2 linked regions of the Oryza sativa Japonica Group genome follow. The protein of the gene in region 1 interacts with the protein of each later gene in a pairwise test. Links are inferred from orthologs where the notes say so. Each region holds a gene or a part of one and is shown on either strand. Other genes may lie near its edges.

What was found.
Region 2: the proteins of aP2-like ethylene-responsive transcription factor SMOS1 (region 1) and histone deacetylase complex subunit SAP18 interact in binary tests that used the Arabidopsis thaliana proteins (3 or more experiments, as listed by UniProt). The link is inferred for Oryza sativa Japonica Group from reciprocal best matches to the Arabidopsis thaliana genes AT2G41710 and SAP18.

What each region holds. Positions count from the first base shown.
Region 1 is NC_089039.1:18,907,329-18,919,247, reverse strand, and holds aP2-like ethylene-responsive transcription factor SMOS1, read right to left. Parts: upstream 5,725-11,919; 5' UTR 5,547-5,724; coding exon 5,263-5,546; intron 4,590-5,262; coding exon 4,507-4,589; intron 4,297-4,506; coding exon 4,288-4,296; intron 4,205-4,287; coding exon 4,116-4,204; intron 3,466-4,115; coding exon 3,392-3,465; intron 3,317-3,391; coding exon 3,266-3,316; intron 2,065-3,265; coding exon 1,997-2,064; intron 1,885-1,996; coding exon 1,316-1,884; intron 1,218-1,315; coding exon 1,167-1,217; 3' UTR 1,121-1,166; intron 398-1,120; 3' UTR 102-397; downstream 1-101.
Region 2 is NC_089036.1:1,162,680-1,174,397, forward strand, and holds histone deacetylase complex subunit SAP18, read right to left. Parts: upstream 5,416-11,718; 5' UTR 5,376-5,415; intron 5,324-5,375; exon of another isoform or gene 5,304-5,323; 5' UTR 5,282-5,303; coding exon 5,168-5,281; intron 5,006-5,167; coding exon 4,973-5,005; intron 4,564-4,972; coding exon 4,453-4,563; intron 4,258-4,452; coding exon 4,162-4,257; intron 3,625-4,161; coding exon 3,553-3,624; intron 3,469-3,552; coding exon 3,436-3,468; 3' UTR 3,198-3,435; downstream 1-3,197. Other genes in the region: pentatricopeptide repeat-containing protein At1g02060, chloroplastic, read left to right, coding at 1-773; UTP:RNA uridylyltransferase 1, read left to right, coding at 6,355-7,071, 7,145-7,522, 7,769-8,034, 8,134-8,197, 8,726-8,922, 9,054-9,267; protein DETOXIFICATION 46, chloroplastic, read right to left, coding at 10,888-10,995, 11,186-11,248, 11,581-11,652. UniProt on the Arabidopsis thaliana protein: Links the histone deacetylase complex to transcriptional repressors bound to chromatin. Involved in the tethering of the SIN3 complex to core histone proteins.

The sequences.
Region 1 (11,919 bases):
AGAATTTCATCCAACTCTTATCAGATAAACGAACGCAGCCAAAGCATAAAGAAAATATCATTCGAATTGTACAACTCAAACAACAAGCATTGGACATATTTGCTCAAAATAAACAATTAAGCTTTGAAAAATTCGTGTTCTTCTGTTCTCTTCATTCTATAGAACCAACCAAGTAGCTGAAATAAGAACCGCGATATGTACAGACAGCTCTATAACTAAATATCATTAACGGGGCACTAGGCCACTAGGCACTGTATATATTACATAACTATGGTTGTACTTCTCTTACCTTCTATTCATGGCTTATGAACTATGGATACAAAGGGTATTTGTTCACGGGTCACCTCAAAAGCTAGGAAGAAGGAAACCCATAGACGTGCAGGATGTTATCACCCACCTGAAATATGCAAAAGGTTTCAGTTAAGCAGAAAAGAGGAATGCAAACATGTCCTATAACTACCGTGCTGTTTTTCATAAAATTAACAATTAGTTCGTTCAAAAGGAATAAAACTAACAATTTTACAAAAGGATGTGCCAGTAAAATCACTGTGACTGCGAGTGCAAAGCATATGCAAAGTGGATCTTCCTGGGTAGCTATAGTAAATTAAGAATTTGACACCCACATGTCAGTGTTACTGATATTTTAACGGAGGGAAAGCTGAAAGCACTGTCCACGCGTGGGCACACGCACATAAACAATGTTGATTTATCATGTCTCAAATACTCGATGCACCACTTACACAACATAATCCCATATTTTCATCATTATAAAAATATTTATGCACACATAAATATCTCACAACAGTATTTTTGTTTGGTTTAATTGATTAGATTTAAACTGTCTCAGTTCATTTTCATTGTGTTCTTTCAACGGAGTGTCATATTGTCAGGTATATTCTTTTCTTTTCAAGACTGGCACCTGTCAATCAAGGGAAAATAAATCCTTAGATATTTGTAAGTTAGACATAAACATATTTCCATTGCTTGCATGTTCTTATTTGAATGCAAATCTGGACATCTCGTGATGCATTGAGTTCTTCAAGCAGATAATTTAGGCGATACACAGAAAGAAAATATATGAAAAAATGTAAAATTTACTATGCCTACAGTCTCTACTTACCAAGCCAAAAAGCAAATCCTGCATGCACTTTGGTAAGCTCGTACGGTCACTCTTGACCATGGAATGGATCACTTGAACTCACCTCATTCTTTGCAAACTGTCACAAATCAGCATCAAATTAAGCACAAGAAGAAAAATTGAAAATATGTTACAGATTTAATTCAAATTGTCAAGTAGAGCCAAAGAGGAACAAACCGTTGTTGTTGCTATTGTTGCCATCGTGACAGGTTGACTTGCTGGCAGGATGAAGTTGGTCCAGAAAAGAGGGTCCGCAGAAGGATCAGCAGGGTTCCAGGTATTTTTCATTTGTGCAGTAACAGAGGGCAATGTGTATGGAGCTCTTTGCACAAGCAACCCATTCACGTTCATGTTAACTGCAGTTGTGTCATGTCCAGTTGCAGGTACTGGGGTAACTGTCTTTCCTTCATCCATTTCTTTGCTAAAAGTACATTCTTCAGATAGTTTTGTAGATTTTTCTGAGAAGCTTTTGAAGGCATCAGACTGAGATAAGATATCACATGCTGATAGGACCACGGAAGAGGGCTTTGAGTTAGAATGGAGGCCAAGGGAAGGAAACTTATAAGGCTCAGTCCGTTGCATTGAACTTTCAATAGCACGGATTTCATCAGTAACCTCTTCCATTTTAGATGTATCTGACTGCCGTGTCTTTTTTGGGAGCCACCACCTTATGTAATTTGTCAGATCAATTTTCCTCTCTAAGCCAAAGGTTCCTGCAAATTTCCCATCCAGCGTGATGTCCTTCCCTGTAATTTAAATAGAAAGACTGGTTACAAAACCACATAGAATTTGTCTTTCTCCTCTGTAGTTTGTTAACCAGAAACAGCAGTGTAGAAGTTTTTATGGAGACACCACAACCTAGGCTCATGTAGTCATTGCCAAGCAAGTGTCCCAAAGAAGCATCCCATCTGGAATTATGGAGCTGCCTGCATGATAATGTCACAACAGTTGCAGTTATAAAATTTATATCAATGTGACTGTACGTGTCCAGCAGTGTAGTGCACTGTAATGATTAGTCGAAGACTGACATCTGGTGAATAATTAAGTAAAACAGAATTACGTACACCCTCCGTACTCGTAAAGGAAGTCGTTTAGGACAGCGAGATGGTCTTCAAAACACAACTTTGACTTCTTGTTTCTATAAAAATATTTATTGAAAAGTGATATATGTATACTTTTATGAAAGTATTTTTCAAGGCAAATATATTCATATAATTTTTGCATTGTCAAACTCAACAACTTAAGAGTTATTAATGATTTATATTCCCAAGGTTTGACTTAAACATTGTCCTAAACGACTTCCTTTATGAGTATGGAGGGAGTATAGTTTTACTTTATATGTCCAAATAATAAACTTTCCTAAACTAATTTCTAGTGGTCCTCAGGACACTATTAAGTCGGGATCCTATCCTAGAAGGAAATTTCAAGTATGTCGATCTCTTCAAAATCTCAGCTACAAGTAATCACTCTCCTCTGAAAGGATATTCTGTTGAGAATATTATGTTTTGGTTGGTTGAGATCCCACAGAAAGCAGGATAGCTGTAACCATACAAAGAACGAAGGCACTGAATGCCGAATTTCCATTGACAACAGTAATCAGTGAGGAAACACAGAATTTCGATGACGCACATTCAGCATCACAAGTACAGTTGAGGGACTGTGGCTGTGCAATCGAGTGATTATTGGAAAGAATTAATGTTCAGCAAAACTTGAAGGTTTGCATCTTTGCTAAATGACACTTTATTTTAAAATTCTCTAAATGAAGACCAATGACACACGAATAAGAGCTAGTAGTTTAGTATCTAAGCTATCTACCTCCAAAAATCTGCTGAGCTTACTAATTTAATTCATAGCAGAAATACATGAAGTTGCTGAAAATAATTTCTAATGTAATATACCACAGGGCATCATCTTTACATACTACTACTTGGTTTGCCATAAATATTTGTAGCAAGATGGAAAATGTTACCGAAATAAACAAAACATGGACAATGATAGTTTGTGCACAATAGAAAAGAAAATTGGACATGAGACTTGTTACTGAATTAGCATCACAAACATGCATGCAAATATAATAACTGAACATAGAGTTAACTTCCAAATATATTTCTCATTGCTAATAAGTACCTAGGAAGGCCGCGATATTTTGGTAAACCCCTGGAAAAGGCACTGCTCTTTCTGCAGTGCATGTGTCTTACAGTTAGTACTTAAGAAACAAAGTAATATGCACGTATTATAAATTCACAAATATACCTCCGAAGAGACACAAGATAATCCTCCTTGGAGATCATCTGCATTTCCTCAAGATCTCTTGCATAATCAGAGACCTAAATAAGCAAATACATAATGAACATAAGCCTGAAAAAGATTACCACAAATCAAATTAACTAGTGCAAAATATAGAATGGAAAAAACATAGTACAATAATTCATAAGCAACATCGCAATTATTTTCCATCGAGATGTATAGGCATATAGATACCAAACTGAAGAGATGGCATGTATGCATATGTTTGTTTTGCCAATATTCTTCTGAGACAATGATTTTTCAATGTCGCTTATATGCTCAGAGATGAATTTTCTGAAAACAAGAGATTTTTTTTGTCAAGGACACAAACATCCATCTCCGAATCGTCAAGTGTAAACTGAATAAATCCCTAACCTTTGCATACAAAAGAACATAATATAATAGTCAAGAGTATTCAGATTTTTCAAACATCACACAATAGTTGCATAGGATATGTTTGGACTAGTATGATCCAAAGTTTGGTACAACACTCTCTAAGATATCTTTTGGTTTTCAATTTGCATCTTAAGAGAATCAGTCTTCGAAATTGAGCTCAGGTGATGCAAAATATAAATGATTAAATTTAACCAAATGAAGGTCTTGAAGAAAAGGCAGTGTGTGGTTAATAATTGTAGAAGAACTAAATGGAAGCTAAGAAACCAATTATAATTAGCAAGTATAGATGACTCACAGGAAAGTTTATTTGTGTCCCAGCTCCCCAGTATTTCAATGCAGCAAGGTCATAAGCTCTTGCTGCAGCCTCTTCATCATCATATGCACCTGTGTATTTGCGCATTGAATTGATGTGGATAAAGAAGTTTATACAATTGCACATTTTACAGTTAACACCAAAGATTTCTTACCTAAATATACTGCACTTGCAGGGCCATTTTGGGTGATAATTTCCCATGCAAAAGAGACAATTCCATTAAATCAGATTAATTATAGCTAGATATAAAAGGAAATGACGTGCATGGATTATCTATGAAATACAATTAAAATTCACCTAGCTTCCAACGTCCCTTGGTCAACTTTTCAAAACATGTAAAATATAGCTGCTAATTTGCATTGGGTATACAGACCTTGTTTCCCTTTTTTGTTCTGATTCTGATTCCATGTGCTTTTATCCCAGAGGTGAGCTTCATATCGGCCTGTCCACCTATGCCTATAGATGATACAAAACAAGTGTCAAATCAAATTCATACATAATAACAGCTGAAAGTTAAAATCTTGCTTACAAATTACAACAAAATTAAGAAAGAAGTAGCATATGGTGGTACAAGAACAGTTGAATAACAATATAGAACAAATACTACTTTTGGATCAGATTAAACACCAAATAAAAGATTTAAGTATGTAAATACACATATAGTTTGAAAATTCATCTTTTAGTTGAGCCCCACACTTGTCTGGACCGAAAAGGGTCCAAAACTTGCTTCTTACCCAGATTAGAGCTAAACCCTGTCAACCCAGTTTGACACAACTTAAATCAAGCATGATGTTGGATGTACTGGTCAAGTGAAAATCATTCATTAGCTTTTATATTTATTTAGATCAAGCGAAGCTCCTAATTATTTCAGATCGTCCCCTTGGAGACACAACAGGTAATCCGATGAATACAGCTAATCCGTATATAACCAAGTAAACAAAAAGAAAAATCTAGATCCCGAATCGACGGTACCATTTTGAGCATACAAGGAGACCTGACGAACGGATTTAGCGCCACAGATCAATCCAAGCAGAGAACGATTGCATATCCCCTAATAAGCATCCAAGTAAAACTTCTCCGCGACTCGAGACACGGAGGAGGGAGAGGGCAAAGGGGGGAGGAGCCGTACCGGGTGACGCCGCGGTAGATGGAGCTGCGCTTCCCGGCGGCGCAGGGCGGCATGCGGCTGATACGCTCCTTGGCCGTGCACACCCTCTCCTTCCGCGCCGCCACGGGCCTCCTCGGCGGCGGCGCCACCTGCTCCGCCCCCGCCCCCACCCCCTCTCCCCCCGCTCCCACCGCCTCCATCTTCTGCATTCCCCGGCCCCACTCCGCCCCGTCTCCTCCCCCCGCCGCCGCCGCAGCCGCCTCCAGCTTCTGCTGCATCCCCGCGGCGGGGCCGGGGGACGCCATGGCGCGCGCACGCAGCAGCAGCAAACCCCCCCTCCCTCCCCCCACTCGATCGGAGTCGGTGGCGAGGCGAGGCGAGAAGAGAAGAGAGAGCCAAAGCGGGGGTGACCGTTTGGGGGAGGCGGTCGCGGTGAGGAGAGGGGGGGGATTTCAAATGGGGGGGATCGCATCGAGTGCGTGAGGTGGGAGACTGGGAGGGATGGAGACGGATGGGGGGGGTGGATGCGTGGATGGATGGGGGGGTGGAGCCCAGTGGGCCGGCACATGGGGGGACAGGGGGCAGGGGAATCCGAGGAAGCGGGGGGATACGATGGGATTGGGGAGGGGGGGTGGGGCCCACTGGGCTATTGGCCGGGCCGGGGGCGGAAAGGGACACGGCGGATGCGGGATTGTCCTGCCCGCCGTCGTTTCCTCGGAACGGCAACGGTGCGTTTTTTCTTGTCTCGGTGGACTTTTTTTTTTATTTATTTGTTTACACACACAACGCTATAGATTTGGTTTCTTTGGTTCTTTCTTTAGGTTAGGGATATAGGATTTGAGGTCCTATTCCAAGAGCTTGTATAGCAATAGGAGCTACTGCTCTCTTAAACATTTTAATTTTATTTTTTATTAGATAGATTGTGTAGTAATCATAAGATCTAAAAAAATAAACTAGTATATTAGCTAAAAACTAAAAACATAACATAACTTGTTCAAATTCTCACTATATAGATACTCTATATTATTCGTGTAAAAAGAACTCTTGAACTATAAATTAAGTGCTTACTCCCTCCATTTAAAAAAAAACTTAACTTTGGAGGAGATGTGACCCTTATGACAACAAATTTATACTACCATTTATCTAGATTCGTTGTCATAGGAGGGGACCTTCTAGGTTAAGTTTTTTTTAGACGGAGGAAGTATATGATAAGGTTTTGACTCCATCTCTCTTAAAATTGTAGCCCAACCAAATGTTTAAGCAATATCTGAAGGAGATAAAGTGGGCTGAAGTGATATGAAAAATAAATTATAGGGGAAAAATAGGGTTTGGATTGCTCCATACTTTACTCTAGACTTCACTGTTAGAGTTAGATTTAGAAGTTAAAATCATGTCAAACATGTCTAAAAGTATTCACCGCTTCCAACAAAGACATTAGATCACAGACCAAATGGCCTCTATGTGAGGACCGAGAAAGTGACTTTCGGAGACAGATAACCCAGTTTCAATAGAGTTCATCGGCAGTGATGTGTATTAGGGGACATTCTTTTTTTCTCTGAGTGTAGATAAAGTACTATCGCTCGTACTTCCTAATTTAGGATTCATAATTTCGACTAAATTAAAGGGTGTGCATATCAATAAAATAAACTGCGATTGAATTTGACTAATAATATTTCTTATAAAATTATTGTAAACTCCACATGTTAAAAGGAGCCTAAAAGCCATCAACGTAACAATAGGGGGGTAAAGATACTGCTCGCACCGACCGTTGCTTAGTTCAACTGGTGCGACGACCATCATTTATTACCCAGTGTGCAGGCTACAGAGTTATTTTTTTCCGAATCACTTGCTCGCTAGATTATCCGTTAGAGCAAGTTTAATAGTACCGCTATCAACTGACGATAAAAATGTACATGTCATCCGGAGATAGAAAATAAAGATGATATGTATAATAGTAGGCTGCTAATCTACCTACACACTTCTCTAGGTAGTTAACTTTTTCTATTTTTTAATCTAACTTGCTACTCTCTATCCTATCCCGTGTGTTCTGCTAATGGGGCCATAGCTATACTATTGGAGAAAAACAACCACAATATTGAATATGCATAATTTCTTGTGCTATAGCTCGGCGTTTGCAGAAGCGCCCGTTGCCCTCTCCCTCTAGCTTTCTCTCTCCTCCACGAATGAATTTGGATGACGTGGCACTCTTATCGCCCGCTGAGTGTGCCTTATTAGAGCACCCGCAATGGTAAAGTAAGGTGCTATCTATAAAACATGTACATCTCAGCAATAGACTAGATTAATAGTAAACCATCTCAATAGTATGTCTACATGGGGATCTATAGCTCTCTAATACATTGTCTCATTTTTCTCTATAGACTATCTCCAGGTTAGTAGATAGCTTTATTCTCTCTCTTCATTTAATCTCTTCCAAGTAGGAAAATATGCTGATATGAATCTCTTATAGAGAGCTTATAGATAATAATTATGGGTGTCCTTAAACTTGCTCTTAACCATGCATGGTTAACGCTCCCTCATTCCACGGCTTGACATGATTCATGTCAGCACCCCATCAAATATTGAATGCAAGCGAAAAGTTCCGCGCATTTTTTATTAGTTATTAGTACTTGGTTGTCTAAAATTTTTCTAAAATATTTCATTCCTCACGGATCCGCATTGATAATTAATTGATGGATAAGAATTTTTTTAAAATAAAGCACAAAACAGTATGAAATTTCATATTGATATGTTCAGGAAAAAGTAAAAGGCTATAATTAGAAAAAAAAAAAGAAGCCACCCACCACATGCTAGAAGCTTCATCACACCCTCGAAAATCACTAGACCGAACTGACCATCGCTGTGCATGACTGGTCACCGCTATCGCTACATAGGGATCGAACACACCCCCACCTCAAACCAACTCCAACATCCATGACAAACTTCTAGCCTCCCTCACGGAAGGGTTGAGGGTGAGGACGAGAGATAATAAAAGGGCAGCAAAGACGAGGGAACAAGATTCCTAGATGGCGCCTCCACGGAGGTTGTGACACCAAAAGGCACCACCGTCGCATGTCCACCATGGACTCGATTTTCACTAGGAAAGTCTTAACGGGGAAAAGAAGGTGGCAACTCGGTAACGTCCCAAAGGGAGAGCACGATGCCAAGAGGTGTCGTCATTGTCGACCCGAGAACATCGAGCTAGGCTTTCACCCGCAGCACCAACTCCCACCCAACCATCGCCAGCCCAATGCCCCGCCAGACAGACGACCTCCTCCAGCACGCAGGCTCACCGCACCATCACCCCTCTGCTGGCCAACCCCCTTGCGCAGCCCCAGCTGTTACTCCAAACCGCCTTGGATGGCTCTTTGCCATCCTTCATGCGCCACCACACCATGGAGCTTGGGCGTGTGAGAGTTCATCATTGCCTCTCCCCAAGCCGAGGAGCTGCTGTCGCATCCTCACATGCGACCGTCCGCACGCCCACCTCAGCCTCCACGGCCACCTCGCCCCGCCTCCACGACCACATCCCCTTGTCACACCGTCTTCTTTGGTGCGCTGCACTGCACCTCCATTGCCTCTCCTCAACAGCCGCCTCACCCCGCCTCCATGATTGAGCAGGCCGCCTTCTCCGAGCTACAGCGCCTTCTCGCACCACTTCGCCTTTGCCACCGTCCAACTCATCTGAGAGAGGCACAGCCATTGTCTTCACTGCATACTGCCACTCCAGCACACGGCACTGTTCCTCGCCAGCTCCGGCCGAGGAGGGCCTTGACTTGGGTAGCGGTGCCTCCACTTCCTTGGGTCGTCAGCCCCCTCCCCTCCCCCCTACCACCGTTGTCCTCACGACCGGCCAGCTTTGTCGGCGGGCTACTAAGGCGGCAACAAGGAGGGGGGAGGGGGGAGGAGTAGCGGTGGTGTTCCTTTAGTTACTATCCCTGTCGCTTTGGGGTGGGAGCGACACGGAGACCACCCTACCCCCTCTCTAGACAAAATATAAAGCAAATCTAAATATATTTTTTTGCAGGGAGCAAATCTGAATATATAACCAGGATGGATAAGATTTTGATTGGATATACTACATATGCTTAAAACATATTTCTCTTTTACAAACAACGTCTAAGTACTACTACTCCCTCCGGGCTGATAATATTAGTCGTTTTGGACAATGATAAAGTCAAACTTTAAAATATTTGACTATAAATAATTTCTAAAATATTTATCTTAAAAATATGAAAACCATATGTTTAGATTAGTCTTAAAAAGTACTCCAATAAAATCATATATTTGTTGATATTTTTATATATATTATAATAGAAAATAGTCGTCAAAGTTACTTTCTGAAGACCGTGCCTTTGTCTAAAACGACAAGTATTATTAACCGGAGGGAGGATATAGGTTATCGATCAGATTCGTTTCATCATGGGATATAATTAGGAGTATTAATCGTCGTGTTTTCGTACTACAGTGAATGTCCCTGTATATGTATATTTCTGTGTCAATCAGCGCGCGGCCGCCTTCAGTCCACATCATTTCAGATTAGTGGGCCAAATATATATATCCCTTAATCAGTATTAATGCTTCTATACTTGGATGAGAGAAGGCCACATATCAACGTATTTTAGGCATGTTTAATTGAATGCTACTGTGTTAATTATAGTATCTTTTATAAAAAAAATCGTCCAAAACTGTTTCGCGCGTACGTTAGAAAATGCTATACTTTCGAGACCCCTTCTCTCAAATTCGCACATTTTTTAAGCATAACTCAGCGCTATCTTTACTGTTAATTTGTACAGTGTACCATATCCTTAATTGGTGGTACTACTTGCACGCGTATGCACAGCAATTAATTTGGCAAGGTACATGTACTGTACGGGGTGTCATGCACAAATCGTGATTGAATGAGAGGACGTTGTCCCTACTGTCCTGCAGGGAAGGCAGGCCTACGGCATGTTGTCTCGAGGTACACGAGGCGCGCGTTCGGTCTGACCGAATATTTTAGACTCGATCTCCGGTTTTTGGTTATTTTGGTTTTTAAAAGCTAGGACCGAACTTCGTCAAAAAAAAATCAGGACCGATAAATTCGGTAATGTTTTTTTTAGTCTTGGTCTCGGTCTCGGTCTGATTGAATTTGGAGGAGTCGACGCGGAGGTGCACCGAGGCGGGGCCAGCGGGAGGTGGCACACACCGTCGACACCGATGCGGCGGTGGTCGGTGGGAGTACGGTGGTGCCGACGCGTTGTGGTCGATGCGGCGGAGGGCGGAGGCCGGGGGCGGCGACGCGGCGCGATGGAGGCGGTGACGGCAGCGCGGCGCGATGGAGGCAGAGACTGAGGTGGCGCGGCCGTGCGCGGGACGGAAGGGGATGCAAAGGGCAGCGCGCTGGGGATGCGGAGCCGGTGGGGGGCGCGACAGGGATGTGTCCTGCTGGTTGGAGCGGGTGGCCTCTAGGGTTTAGAGGTGTATTGGGCTTATTGGGCTTTCTAGACCTATTGGGTCACAATTTGGTTTTCTCGGTTAATTCGGTTAACTGGGCCCAATAACCTTATTACGCGAACAAATTTCGGTCTTTGACAGGCTGAGACCGAATTTCTCGGTCTCGGTATTTTTGGTTCGGTCTTCGGTTTGGTCTTATTTTGCCCACCCCTAGAGATACACACTCGCTTCGTCATAAAAATTAGTTGATTTCTTCAAATTTTGTTCAAATTAAATAAGTTTATTTATGCTCTCTTATGTAACCTTAGCTTCGGTTCATAAGTCAATAAGTTTTACCTCTTCAATACCACTTACATGCAGACACAACAATACTACTTTTATATTAATAAAAGATACTTTGGTATTTTTCTCTCACTACTAAGGATGTGCAATTTGAGAGAAGATAAAAATAGTTGATTGAGAAGATACACAAAATGAGATGAGTCATTAGCGTATAATTAATGGATCAGTATTGATTATTTTAAACTTGAAAATAGATTAATATGTTTTTTTCAATCAACTTTTGTATGGAATTTTTTAAAAATATATTGTTTACCAGTTCGGGAAATGTGAAGAGTGGAAAACAAGAGATTTTTTTCTATCAATTCACTACTAACTAACGCAGCCAGGTTCCCTTTGGTTTAAAGAAAAATCATAGGAACTTTGGAGTTCATTCCTATAAATTTTTTTCCTATATACTTTCTCTGTTTCATAATGTAAGTCATTCTAGCATTGCCTATATTCATATAGATGTTAATAAATCTAAACATATATGTGTTCTAGATTCATTAACAACTATATGAATGTGGATAATGCTAGAAAGTCTTACATTATGAAATAGAGGGAGTAGTTCTTTCAATCTGAACACACTATAGAATCCTATGAAATGATTCATTCTATGCAAGATTTGGAGAAAAATTAACATGGATTAGATAGAATCTTAATAGAAAGTTCCCTTGAGTCTTTATCTCTTCTCAAATTCTTATATTTATTTTATAGCCTAATCAAACATCATTAATGTGTTTTACAATTATTTATTTTACACTTACATTCTTATCAAAATCATGTGTTTTGCAATGGCACCAATTTAATTAACCCTTTTCATATTCCGTATTTCAAAGGGGCTCTAAAGCTTTATCGGGATGCAAGGGATCCATTAATTTATTTTCGGATTTTGAGCTTTTATTTAAAAGCAATACGAGTTAT
Region 2 (11,718 bases), on another chromosome or scaffold:
ACCGGAGGAGCAAGGTCGATGTTCCTGCATTCAAGACATTGATCCTTGGGCATTGCAGAGAGGGTGATTTCGAAGAAGGGTATGCATTGCTGCTCTCAATGTTGAAGCGGGATCTTGTCCCTGATGATGAATGCTACATTGCCGTGATTGAAGGGTTTTCACAGAGGGGAAGGATGAAGTTTGCATGGGAAGCCTTGCACAGGATGTTGAATAGCGGTCTTCGGCCAAGCACAAGTACTTTTCACTCGGTTCTTTTGGGGCTTTTGAACAAAGATGGTTGTGCAAAAGAAGCAGCTGATTTGATTGAGATAATGCTAGAGAGGAAGATTCGCCAAAATGTTGATCTTTCGACAAATTTGGTAGATACATTGTTCAGGAACAACCTAAATGACCGTGCTTACAAGATTGTTACATCTCTATATGACCATGGCTATTACATCAAGATGGAAAAGTTAATCGCAAACCTTTGCGAGGAAAAGAAGTTCATAGAAGCTGCAGATTTTACTTTGTTTAGCTTGGAGAAGTCTCAGAATTTTGGTGTAGCCATTCCAAGCATGGTTCTGGATGGTCTTTGCATGACTGGTAGAGCTTCAGAAGCATTCCGGCTGTTCTATGAACTCATTGAGAACAGAAGTGCTTTGGCTTCTGTCGCTGCACCTCGTAGTTTAGTTGCACTTCATCATGCACTGGAGGAATCCGGGAAAATGAAGGAAGCTGATTTTATTGCTAGACAGATGAGACGTGCAAGTGCCAGAATAAGGGAAAGAATCTAGTGGGTTGCTTTGTCCCAAGGAGCATTTCAATCGCATGCCCTTTGCTTCTCCAAACAGGATGGACTAATAAGTGTGAACTTAAAAGAACGAACAGGATGCAGAAACTGTGCCTGATCCACTGCCCCATAAGAAATGGATCAACCAACTGTATGATGTTAGAATGCAGATTAATTCAGCAGATATCCTTTTTTTTTTCAGGGAAACTATGGCGGGTGGATTAGCACCGGCCTGAACATTTATTGATAAATAAAGAGATAGTTACAAATAAAGATAATTTACATGGAGGAAGGAGAAGTTGCTTGAGAATTCAGAAAATACAGAGGGGGGAGGATGGAGTTTAAGAAATTCCTATGTCACTAAGATTGTTCATCCAGGTGTTCAGAGCGGGGCGTAGATGCTCCGGGCAGCGGTGTACCCATAATTCAGCAGATATCCTTAAAATATTGGTCCAATCAGGACTTTGTATAGCCAAACAATCAAGCCAACTTTCTCTGTCACTATAGTATCACCGATCTGGATCATTTCTTCTCAAGGATTGATATCTTTGGGAGGAAATGAAGTGTGGGAAGACCAGATCACAAGAGTACTCTGCTCCTGGACTTTGAAGGGCAGTAGTTGCGGGAGACCAAAGAATCCGGCTGAAAGAAACATATTGTGAAAATGTACTGCTTTCCCCCCCCCCCCCCCCCCCCTAAATGCATGAGGCAGAGCTCCTTGCCCTTTGTGCTCAAAAAAAAAAAGGAAAAGAAGAAAAGTGGGGAATTTAACTATTTGCCACTTTTACATTTGACAATTAACCAAATACCCTTCTTAAGATTGTACTTAAGAATTTGCCATTAGAGAGAGAAGCTTTTGTAACTTTTTGCCACTTTTTGCCCTGTGGAGTGCCACATGTGCATGCCAACATGGACCAACGTGAAAAATGACCAACCTACCCCTTCTAGCTAGTGGTTAGTTTCTCAGTTGCTAAGCCTGTCCGCATTGAATCTTAGTCATAATTCATTCACTGGAAAGATACCAAGAGAAACCAGCAACCTGCCCAATCTTCCCATTTTACACTTTTAAATTTATAAGGCAACAACATCAATGGCACCATTCATGTTACAGTCAGTTCATTAACTTTTTGAGGCTGCATTCGGATGTCTTTTTTCTAACTTCTACTCACAGTTATTAGGACTGACCAGACCGGCGGTTGGACTGGAAAAAACCGGAACCAGGGCCTCCGCCGGTCTGAGTTCTACTCCCTCATTTTTTTCGCACGTTTCTTTAATAACTTTTTAAATAAAATTAAGTTACTTTAAAAATATATATTAATCTATTCTTTATTTATTAAAACTCAAACTAAATTAGTCATGCGCTAATTCTTTGCTCAGTTTTACGTGAAGAGAGAAATATTTCCAAACCATGCTATCGCACACCTTAATTGAGCTCACTCCAGGTGGCACCATCCCAACAATACCAGCCAAATTGGAATACCGTTTAGCAGCTTGAAAAACGTACACGTGAAAAACGAGAGAGATGAGTTATGAAAGTGAACAAAAGAACTCAATCTAAGTATCGTTTTGAAAGTTTGTTATAACCATCTCAGTGGATCTATTACTTCAAATATTGATTTGTTAACTGATGTGGAGGTACTCGGTCTTTAATATAGTACCTCATAAAAGTGAACAGCATCCATACCGATGCAACTGATTCGCGAAAGCAATTTGTCCAAATATTATTCCTGACTCAGCTTATATTACAGACATTACTAACAAGGGTAGATTAGTCATTTCGTGTGCCTGGTCCATGCTGGCATGTATATGTGGCACTGAACAGTGCAGAAAGTGGCAAAAAATTACAAAAGCTTCTCTCTCCAGTGGCAAATTCTTAAGTGCAAATCTAAGAAGGGTATTTGGTTAATTGCCAAACCTAAAAGTGGCAAATAGTTAAATTTCCCAAAAGTGTGAGGCAATTTCTATATCAAGCATTATTATTTTGGAAGACAGGTTGGCTAACTTACCATCAGTCTGCCTATTTCTTTACAGAGGAGTGACCTTAGCTCGACTAGCAAATATTCCTAATACTTTACAGAGGAGTTTCCTTGCCAGTTGCCACAAGATGTATTGGTTGATGTGTCTGAACGTAAAGAATCATACTACAAAATTCCAATTTCACATTGTCGTTCTCCTGTTTTGATGCTGTTTGTGAGTTGTGATAGCCGTGACTCAGTTTATGTGCATGCATTCAGATACTTTGGGGGCTCACCACAGAACTACACAGTATCCTGCCAACTCAGTTGGAAATTGAAACACTGAAATGTGAGAAGTAGGAGATGATCATAAGAACATTATGTTCCTTCACCCAGTTATTTAGCACAGAACACATTTAATCCTACTCGGCGCAGAGAATCAATGGAAAACGCGTGATGTTCAGATCTCACAGTTCCAAGGAAACCACGAACAGGTATATAACACGCAATCACATCAAACGTTTTAAGTGTTCAACACACTCGAAATACTGAGTGAATTCCAAGGTTACTACCATAACAAACAGTTCTGGTATCACGTCTCTAGTACTACAGAGATATTCACCACCACAGGAAAGCTGGGTACCGCCACAGGAAAGCTGGATTCAGCATGGTAGGCAGGGAGAAACACACTATTTCGTGAAGCAGTGTCACTCAATAGATTGCAACACTCAAGTAATCCCCTATCTGTGAAAGAACATAGCAAATAATCAATTGATTTTTGCCTCAGAAGAATACATTGTAATAACATAATACAGCTCTGACAAATACCTGGAATCCTAGCTCTGCAAGAGTTTTAGCATCATCTCCCCTTCCATGGCCATAAGAGAAGGTTGAACCCACCTTCAATCAATATCCAATTATATAAGTTATCACAAATTGAACAGTTACTGGTTTGGAATATAAAGGAACATGGGTTGTACAAGGGAATTTACTGACATATTTAGTGGTTTAATGGCACAGATAGAACTTGTAACAAGCTACGTTTTAGTACAGAGACAATTATCACGATGTGACTGAAGTGGCTACTGGTAAGTGGTAACTACATGGGGCCTAGTGGTGTACCAATGACATGTGTTAGGTATGCATACCTGAGTTTGCAGAAAAGAGATTTTGATGTCATTGGAAGCATGTCATGAATATAAGCACACAAAATAGTAACCATAACTAAAACTAATAGCCCATGTATAGTGACCAAACTAATAGCCAACGTATAGTGACAGTCAAAGCAAAATCCAACTCATTCACGATAATAACACTCATTCCCTATTCAGATTAAGACCAACGTGCTCTGCATTTTTTCCATGTTTGTGTATCAGAGGAAGAAAAACAGGATGAGCAGAAGAATAGTCACAATGGTCAATGGGGATAAACTCTCACCTCTTTGACAACGAAACGACCATGCTTATCAGGGTACACGAAAGCAAAAGAAAGCCTTGCATTTCTTTTTCTTGCTGCAAGAGCAACCTCTTTCACCTGAAACATAACCAAAACTGTGCTGATCAGATCTCCATCTAAAAACAACATTTAGTCAAACGTAGTGCCAAACCCCACTTATCATCATCAGACTAGTCAAATTTTGTTGATTTCTAGTTTGTTAAGTAGTATAAAACTAGGTAAAATTTCATTTTCCCCAAAGAGGACAAGAAAGCACAATATTAGAAAAATTACAAGATCAGTGAGCTCTCGGAGTGTGGCATCCTTCCACGTGTATATCTGCACTTCATCTTTCGGCTCCTTTCCTCTCACGGCAAACTCTTCATTTTGGTGATGGCCACCAACCTGAAAATAAATGACCAGTACCACAATCAGCTTTCTGTGTCGCTGAGTGTTTACTCAAGAATCTGAAGTCTGTCCTAAATGAATGGCTTGGGATTTAATTTTCAACAACACTACCATGAGTTACTTGATCGAGTTATACTGCATAGAAGTGTGACTCAACTACAAGTGCGATATGAACATTACAATTCCATCAAGGCACCAGAACCTATGATTCGGTAAGATTGCACAATGCAAATAACTAGCGCAATAAAGTTTCTGACTATTTATTTAACTTGTATTCAAATGAACATATGCTCTCCTCAGTCAACCACACTAAACAGAAGTGTAAATCACATAATGTGAACTTATCATACATACAGGAATACAAATGAACGAAGTTAGCAGTAAGAGAGATAACAAGAGGTTTTACCTTTGTGAAAACCCGGAGCAGGAGAGGGCACGTCTGCAAAAGAACCCGATAGTGAACAGTAAGTAAACAAATCAATCAACATGGTTAACCTAGCAGAATCGAACTGGAACACAATGCCGTCGAATCGCAAGGTAGTACGCAATCTACTGCTGTTCCAGCGCATCGATTGGGAGGGGGGCACGGAGGAGGCCTCACCTTCTCGCGATCGACGGGTTCGACGCGCGCGCGAGCCATGGGAGGAGGCCCCCGGTACTGCATCGGCGGCCCTGGCCGCACAGGCCTCATCGGCATCTCGCCCCTTCCCGCCATCGCAACGAGACCTCCCCCTGCCCTGCCCGAGGAAGAAGAAAGCTAGTACGAATCAATCTACTGCTCCGGAATCACCAATCAGCAAGCGACTGACCTTGCTCACCTGCTCCGCCGCCGCCGCCGCCGATCACTTCAGAAGGGGATGCGAGAGAAGCAAAGAAAACCCTAGTAAACTTTTTGTAGATTGCACCCTGGGTTCAAATGAAAATACAATTTTACAATTCAGTCCACCTCTAAAAAAGGGACATTTAACTCCATGCCACTTTTAAGATGTAGCAATTAATTATTAGTTATTCATTGTCTACGATACGTGGGTCTAATGGCAAATAATTTAGCACCACTAGTAAGAGAGTAAGGGCCCGTTTAGTTCTCAAAAAGTTTTTCCCAAAAACATCACATCGAATCTTTGCACACATGCATGGAGTATTAAATATAAATAAAAAGAAAAACTAATTGCACAGTTATGGGAGAAATAGGGAGACGAATCTTTTGAGCCTAATTAGTCCGTGATTAGCCATAAGTGCTACGGTAACCCACATGTGCTAATGACGGCTTAATTAGACTCAAAAGATTCGTCTCACGGTTTCCCGGCGAGTTCTGAAATTAGTTATTTCATTCGTGTCCGAAAACCCCTTCCGACATCCGGTCAAACGTCCGATGTGACACCCAAAAATTTTCTTTTCCCCAACTAAACACACCCTAACAAAATAGTTAACTATTACTACCTCCTTCCCTAAATGTTTGATGCCATTGACTTCTTTTAAACATGTTTGACCGTTTGTCTTATTCAAAACTTTTGTAAAATATGTAAAACTATATGTATACATAAAAATATATTTAACAATGAATGTAGGAAAAGAATTAATAATTGCTTAAATTTTTTTAATAAAATAAACGGTCAACCATGTTTAAAAAAGTCAACGGGTTAAACATTTAGAGATGGATGGAGTACCTTAAAAAAAAGCGTTGACTTGTTGACCACTTCGTTGAAAAAGCCAAAAAGGAATCCGCCTTCTTCTCCACTCCACTTCACTCACGCCTTCCTCGCCCCGCGTCGCGAACCACCGCGCGCCATGGTCGGCGGCGAGCCCTTGCGGCGGCGGCGGCATCTCGCCGACGATGGATTCTTCCGGTTCCTCCTCCCCTCGCCGAAGCCGGCCACCACCACCACCACCACCCCTCCTCCCGCCGCGCTGTTCGTCCCGCCCCACCGCCTCATCGCGCCACCCGTGCCGCTCCCCCAGCCACCCCGCCCCGAGGAGCGCCTCTTCATCGTGCCCCCCACGCGCCCTTCCTGGCTCCCGCCTCTCTCGATACCTCCGCCGGCGACGGCGACGGCCCCGCCGCCGACTCGTTGCCCTCCGCGGCGGATGGGCAATGGTGGTGGTGGTTGCTTTGGCGGCCGGAGTGGGGTGGTGGGGTGGAGGTATGGAGGTTTCGTCGGGAATGGTGGACGTCGTGGCTTCGAGCGGCGGAGGGTGGGAGGAGGCTTCATCGGAGCAGCGAATGCAGGCGAGGCCACCGGCGGCGAGAGGCGGGCGGTGGTGCGTAAGAGGGAGAAGAAGGTGTGGGTCGCCGTGGAGAAGAAGGGCGAGGACTGCGGCGGCGGGGATGAGGACCAGGCGGCGATGGGCGCGGGCTATGCCGGTGGAGATGAGAGGGACGAGCAGGTGGACGTCGACGACGACGAACAAGACGACGGCGACGGCGATGACCCTTTCGACGTCGCCGCCGATCACGACCTCCTCGCCGTCGTCGCCGATGGCGCCGGCAGCGAGAAACCAATGGAGGTAGAGGAAAACTCGACCGAGACTTCACCGACGCTTCATGCTATGAAACTCTTCACCTTGCTCTCCCTTTCAGCAGCTCGGATCGCCGCCGGATCAACCGCCGCCGCCGCCGCCGCGCCAGCGAGTCGGAACGCGGCGGTGGAGGGTGGAACGCCGCCATGACATCGACGCCTTCACGCCCGGATTGCTCTCCCTCTACGAATCCCTCAATCCATCAGAGGAGCACAAGGCCAAGCAGAGGCAGCTCATCGAATCCCTCACGAATTCTGTGAGCAAAGAGTGGCCCAACGCCCAGCTGCATCTCTATGGATCGTGTGCTAATTCCTTCGGAAATTCGCATAGCGATGTAGATGTTTGTCTCCAAATTGACACTGCTGCAGAAGAGAACATTGCTGAGCTTCTTCTCGCATTAGCAGAGACATTGCGCAAGGATGATTTCGACAATGTTGAGGTAATTAATTAATTCTTCTCCAGATATATGCAATTTTGCAAGCAAGCATCTCTTCCAAATTTGAATGATTCATCATTACTTGAAAAATTTAATATTAGCTGCATAATTAATCTGGAACTGGAATGTGAAGAGCTAGTTGCCTCATGTAATTCTTCATAAATGCCCCGGTGGAAAAAAAATTAGGCCCGGGAAAAAATAATTCTTCATAATTGATGTATTTGAAAAATAGCTTCTTAATTGACGCAGGTTGAGACTGTTCATCTTCTAATGCCTGTCAAATTCATGCAGGCTATTACCAGTGCTCGAGTTCCAATTGTGAAGATTGCAGATCCAGGAAGTGGCTTGTCATGTGATATCTGTGTCAACAATCTCTTTGCTGTTGCTAACACAAAGCTTCTCAAGGATTATGCCCAGATAGATGAGAGGTTGCTTCAGCTGGCCTTCATTGTAAAGCACTGGGCCAAACTAAGGGGCGTTAATGAAACATATCGTGGAACCCTTTCGAGCTATGCGTGAGTTAAACGACTTTGCGTTCATGATTTTCCCCTTTTTACAGCTATATGTTATTTGTTGAAAATCTTGAACCTGATCTTGTTCTTATTAATTTGCAGATATGTGCTTATGTGCATTAGCTTCTTGCAGCAAAGAGAGCCCAAGATTCTACCATGTTTGCAGGTTCTATACCTTACTTTTTATCTCACCAATATGTTTCATTCATATGAACTACTCGCTGAAGTACTGATACTTTGGATGCACACAGTTTAGGATAAAATCACTTCACGCTTGCTTCATCTGCATTTAGACTCATGATGCTGATACAGGTTAAACGAATGGTCTGCACACATTTTTATTTTCATTTTCATTTTTTTATCTCTAAAATACTTAACTTCTATCTCTTTTATTTGCTGGTGGAATCGTCCTGATTTCGCATTCTCCCTTCATATATGCATGATTCTGTTTTGGATGGCTCGACATTCAACTATGGTTGGTCAATTTTCTTTCCTTTCTTTTCTTTTTTTTTTCACTAATGTAGCAGGTCCATTTTTTATTCTCTTTGATTGATGTTACTAAGAGTTGCTTGCGTCTAGAATTGTTCAGATGAAATCAGGATCTGCAAAGTTGTATATTTCAGCTTCATCTATGAATTACTTCCGTCAGTTTTATCCTGATGCAATTTGTCCTCTCAACTCACTCCAATTGTAGGCGATGGAGCCAACATATACTGTGGTTGTCGATGGCACTGAATGTGCATACTTCGACCAAGTTGACCAGCTTAAAGATTTTGGTGCTGAAAACAAGGAGAGCATCGCCGAGTTACTGTGGGCATTCTTCCACTACTGGGCATTCCATCACGATTACAGGAACGATGTCATCTCCGTCCGCATGGGGAACACAATCAGGTGAGAATTGCCAACGAGCGTTTCTCAAAAACCGACTAAACTTCAAAAATTCGATTTTGAACTAATGTCACATATGCTTCAAAGAATTTCGCGTCCTTTTTAACTTGGTTCGATCTCTGGTCGATCGATAGCAAGCAGGAGAAGAACTGGACGACTCGCGTTGGAAACGATCGCCATCTGATATGCATCGAGGATCCTTTCGAGACCAGCCATGACCTCGGTCGTGTTGTCGACAGGCAGACAATCAGGGTTCTCAGGGAGGAGTTTGAGCGAGCTGCCACCATTCTGCAGTACGACGATGACCCTTGTGTGGCTCTTTTTGAGCCCTATGATTATGAATCTTGATTATTATTATTAGCACATAAATTAATAACTAGCCTGGAAAATCCAGAAAACAGTAGCTATCCTAATTCTAGGTAGTAGTGAAGATCCAGTAGCATGCTTAAAACACTTGGTGAACAGAAGAACAACAGCAGGTTGCATTCAAGTATGTCAAATTTGATAGAAAGTTGGATCTTAAAATCAAAAGTACTATGCCAACCCAAATTTTTCGGAATGCTTCCCAAGACCTGTGAGGCGTTTCACACATTCTAAGAAAGTTGGATCTTAGAATTCCTTTGTTTTTACTTACAGGGCAATCCTGAAGACCACAAAGACAAAATAGGGCTTTACTTTTGAAGTGGTGCATGCATAACTGAAGAGTAAAACAATCTTATGCTACAAAAACCAAAACAATATAAAATTCATCACCACGCATTTAGATGGAAAAATGTTTGTGTAATATATGAAGGGGGTGGCTGGAAATTAACTGAGGCCCGGAAGAAGAGGAGCGATTTGCTCCCAATGAGAGGCCGGGAAACCTAGACCAGGCCAGGCCTTTTAAAGCCCACAAGGCCTCTACTTTCTCTTCCAGAGTAGATGGGCCTCATTTCGACCCAGCCCAAGATGAAGCAGAGTCTTTCTCTTCCCTTTCTTTTAAGAGCAAAAGCAGTGCATCTTATCTTAAATCTAAAATTTGCCACAACATGCTAAGCTAAATTTTACACACGCCCTAGTTTTTTTTTTTGCGGTTATTTGATTGGTGCCACAGTTTTAGCTAGCCACATTACTTAAATGTAAAATTTGATGATTTGACACTTTATTTCTTGTCACTTTAATTTTTAAAATTGATACTTTTTAGGATGACGTATGGGACCATGTAAGTCAATGAAAATGAATGTTAAGTAATCGAAAGCCAGCTGAGTGAAATATCAAATTATCACATCTCTTAGAACACATGGCTCCGCATGTCAAAAACTCGATTTCTTGTATATAAGAATGCATAAAGGTATGGCCAAGGTGAGTTGCACTGAAGCTGTGAATTAGTGACCCGAAGAAACAACAGCTGCATTATGTGGCGTGCACCTCAATAATATTCATTTTGTGACGCAGAGCTAGTATAAGATATTGACATCTTTTCGCGGAGAAAGATGTGGAAATTTTTGTTCTTATCTATTTTTGCTTTCTTCTGCGTATGCTCAATTAACTGCTCTTTGACAGCCTTCGTGTTTGACAGTGGAAAACATTTCCTTACCGTAGCAATAATGTTGCTTGCAGGTATAATTCCTAGGACAAAACTATATACTACTACCTCCGTCCCAAAATATAACAATTTTTAGCTATGAATCTGGACACACAGTTGTCTATATTTATAGTTAAAAATGCTTATATTTTGGGACGGAGGGAGTATATCATGACAGGAGAACGAATTCTACCCTACAACTTACTGATTTTTCCTGGTCTAATCTTCTGGGCCATCATGTCTTGAATTCCGTTCCAAAGATCATACTATGAACTAAGTGCAGCTTCTGTATGAGAGCTGAGGTGCCACTGATCAGCAGAGATTGCAGAATGATCTTTCTGGGCTTATGCAACTCTTTTCATCTTTGTTGTCACCTCAGGAAAACCTATAATTCATACTACTTCTTATGTGGCCTTCACCTTGACATACTCATCATGATGGTTATTGAAGTTTTCGTTATATAGCATGCCCGTTGGAGAAAGAAGCCGTTGTAAAGCACTTCCAAACCGACCCTGGAAAATGGAAACAGTATTAAAATGTGGCCAGGAAACATTTGGAGTAGCGAGACATTATTATATAGTGAGAAGTAAGATAATGCAAAAAATAAGGCTCGAAACGATAGTCTGTTATCTTTGGTAGGGAACTAAGGATACAAATATGAGAAAAAGAACTTGATATATTGAAATGGTCAGATGGCCTTACCCACTGAAACAAGACAAGTATCCACCAGCATCCAGGCAAACTACCAAATTTGTTGCGAATGATCTGTTAAGAAGAAACGAGATCAGAGAAGTCGATCATTAGGATGTGACTATTGTTATTTGAACAACAAAGAAGATTAAAGGATTTTCAAATTTTGGACTTAAGTTCTTTTAGTTGCTAGACAGCCATCACAGAGCTTTATGAACTGAGTGACAGCATTCAAAAGTAGGAAGAAGATACAATGTTCACAGTACCAATGCTTTTTTTTTTCTCAAGCTCATTCAACATAATTGAAGTAGGGACAAAAACTCCATCTAGCATCGATCTAAAGAACCTATATCTAACATCAGTACCTCACCAAAGGAGAAAGAAAGGAAACAGTCATACGGTCATACCATTAGTAGAAAGGTTCCAATGCCAAAGCATGCTCCCATTGATTGACTCAAAAACCTGAGATCTCTTCCAGCCTGAGAATAGGGAGAAAGTACCAAGGGATGTCATCACATTTTTCCAGCACGTGCCATATTCGACTT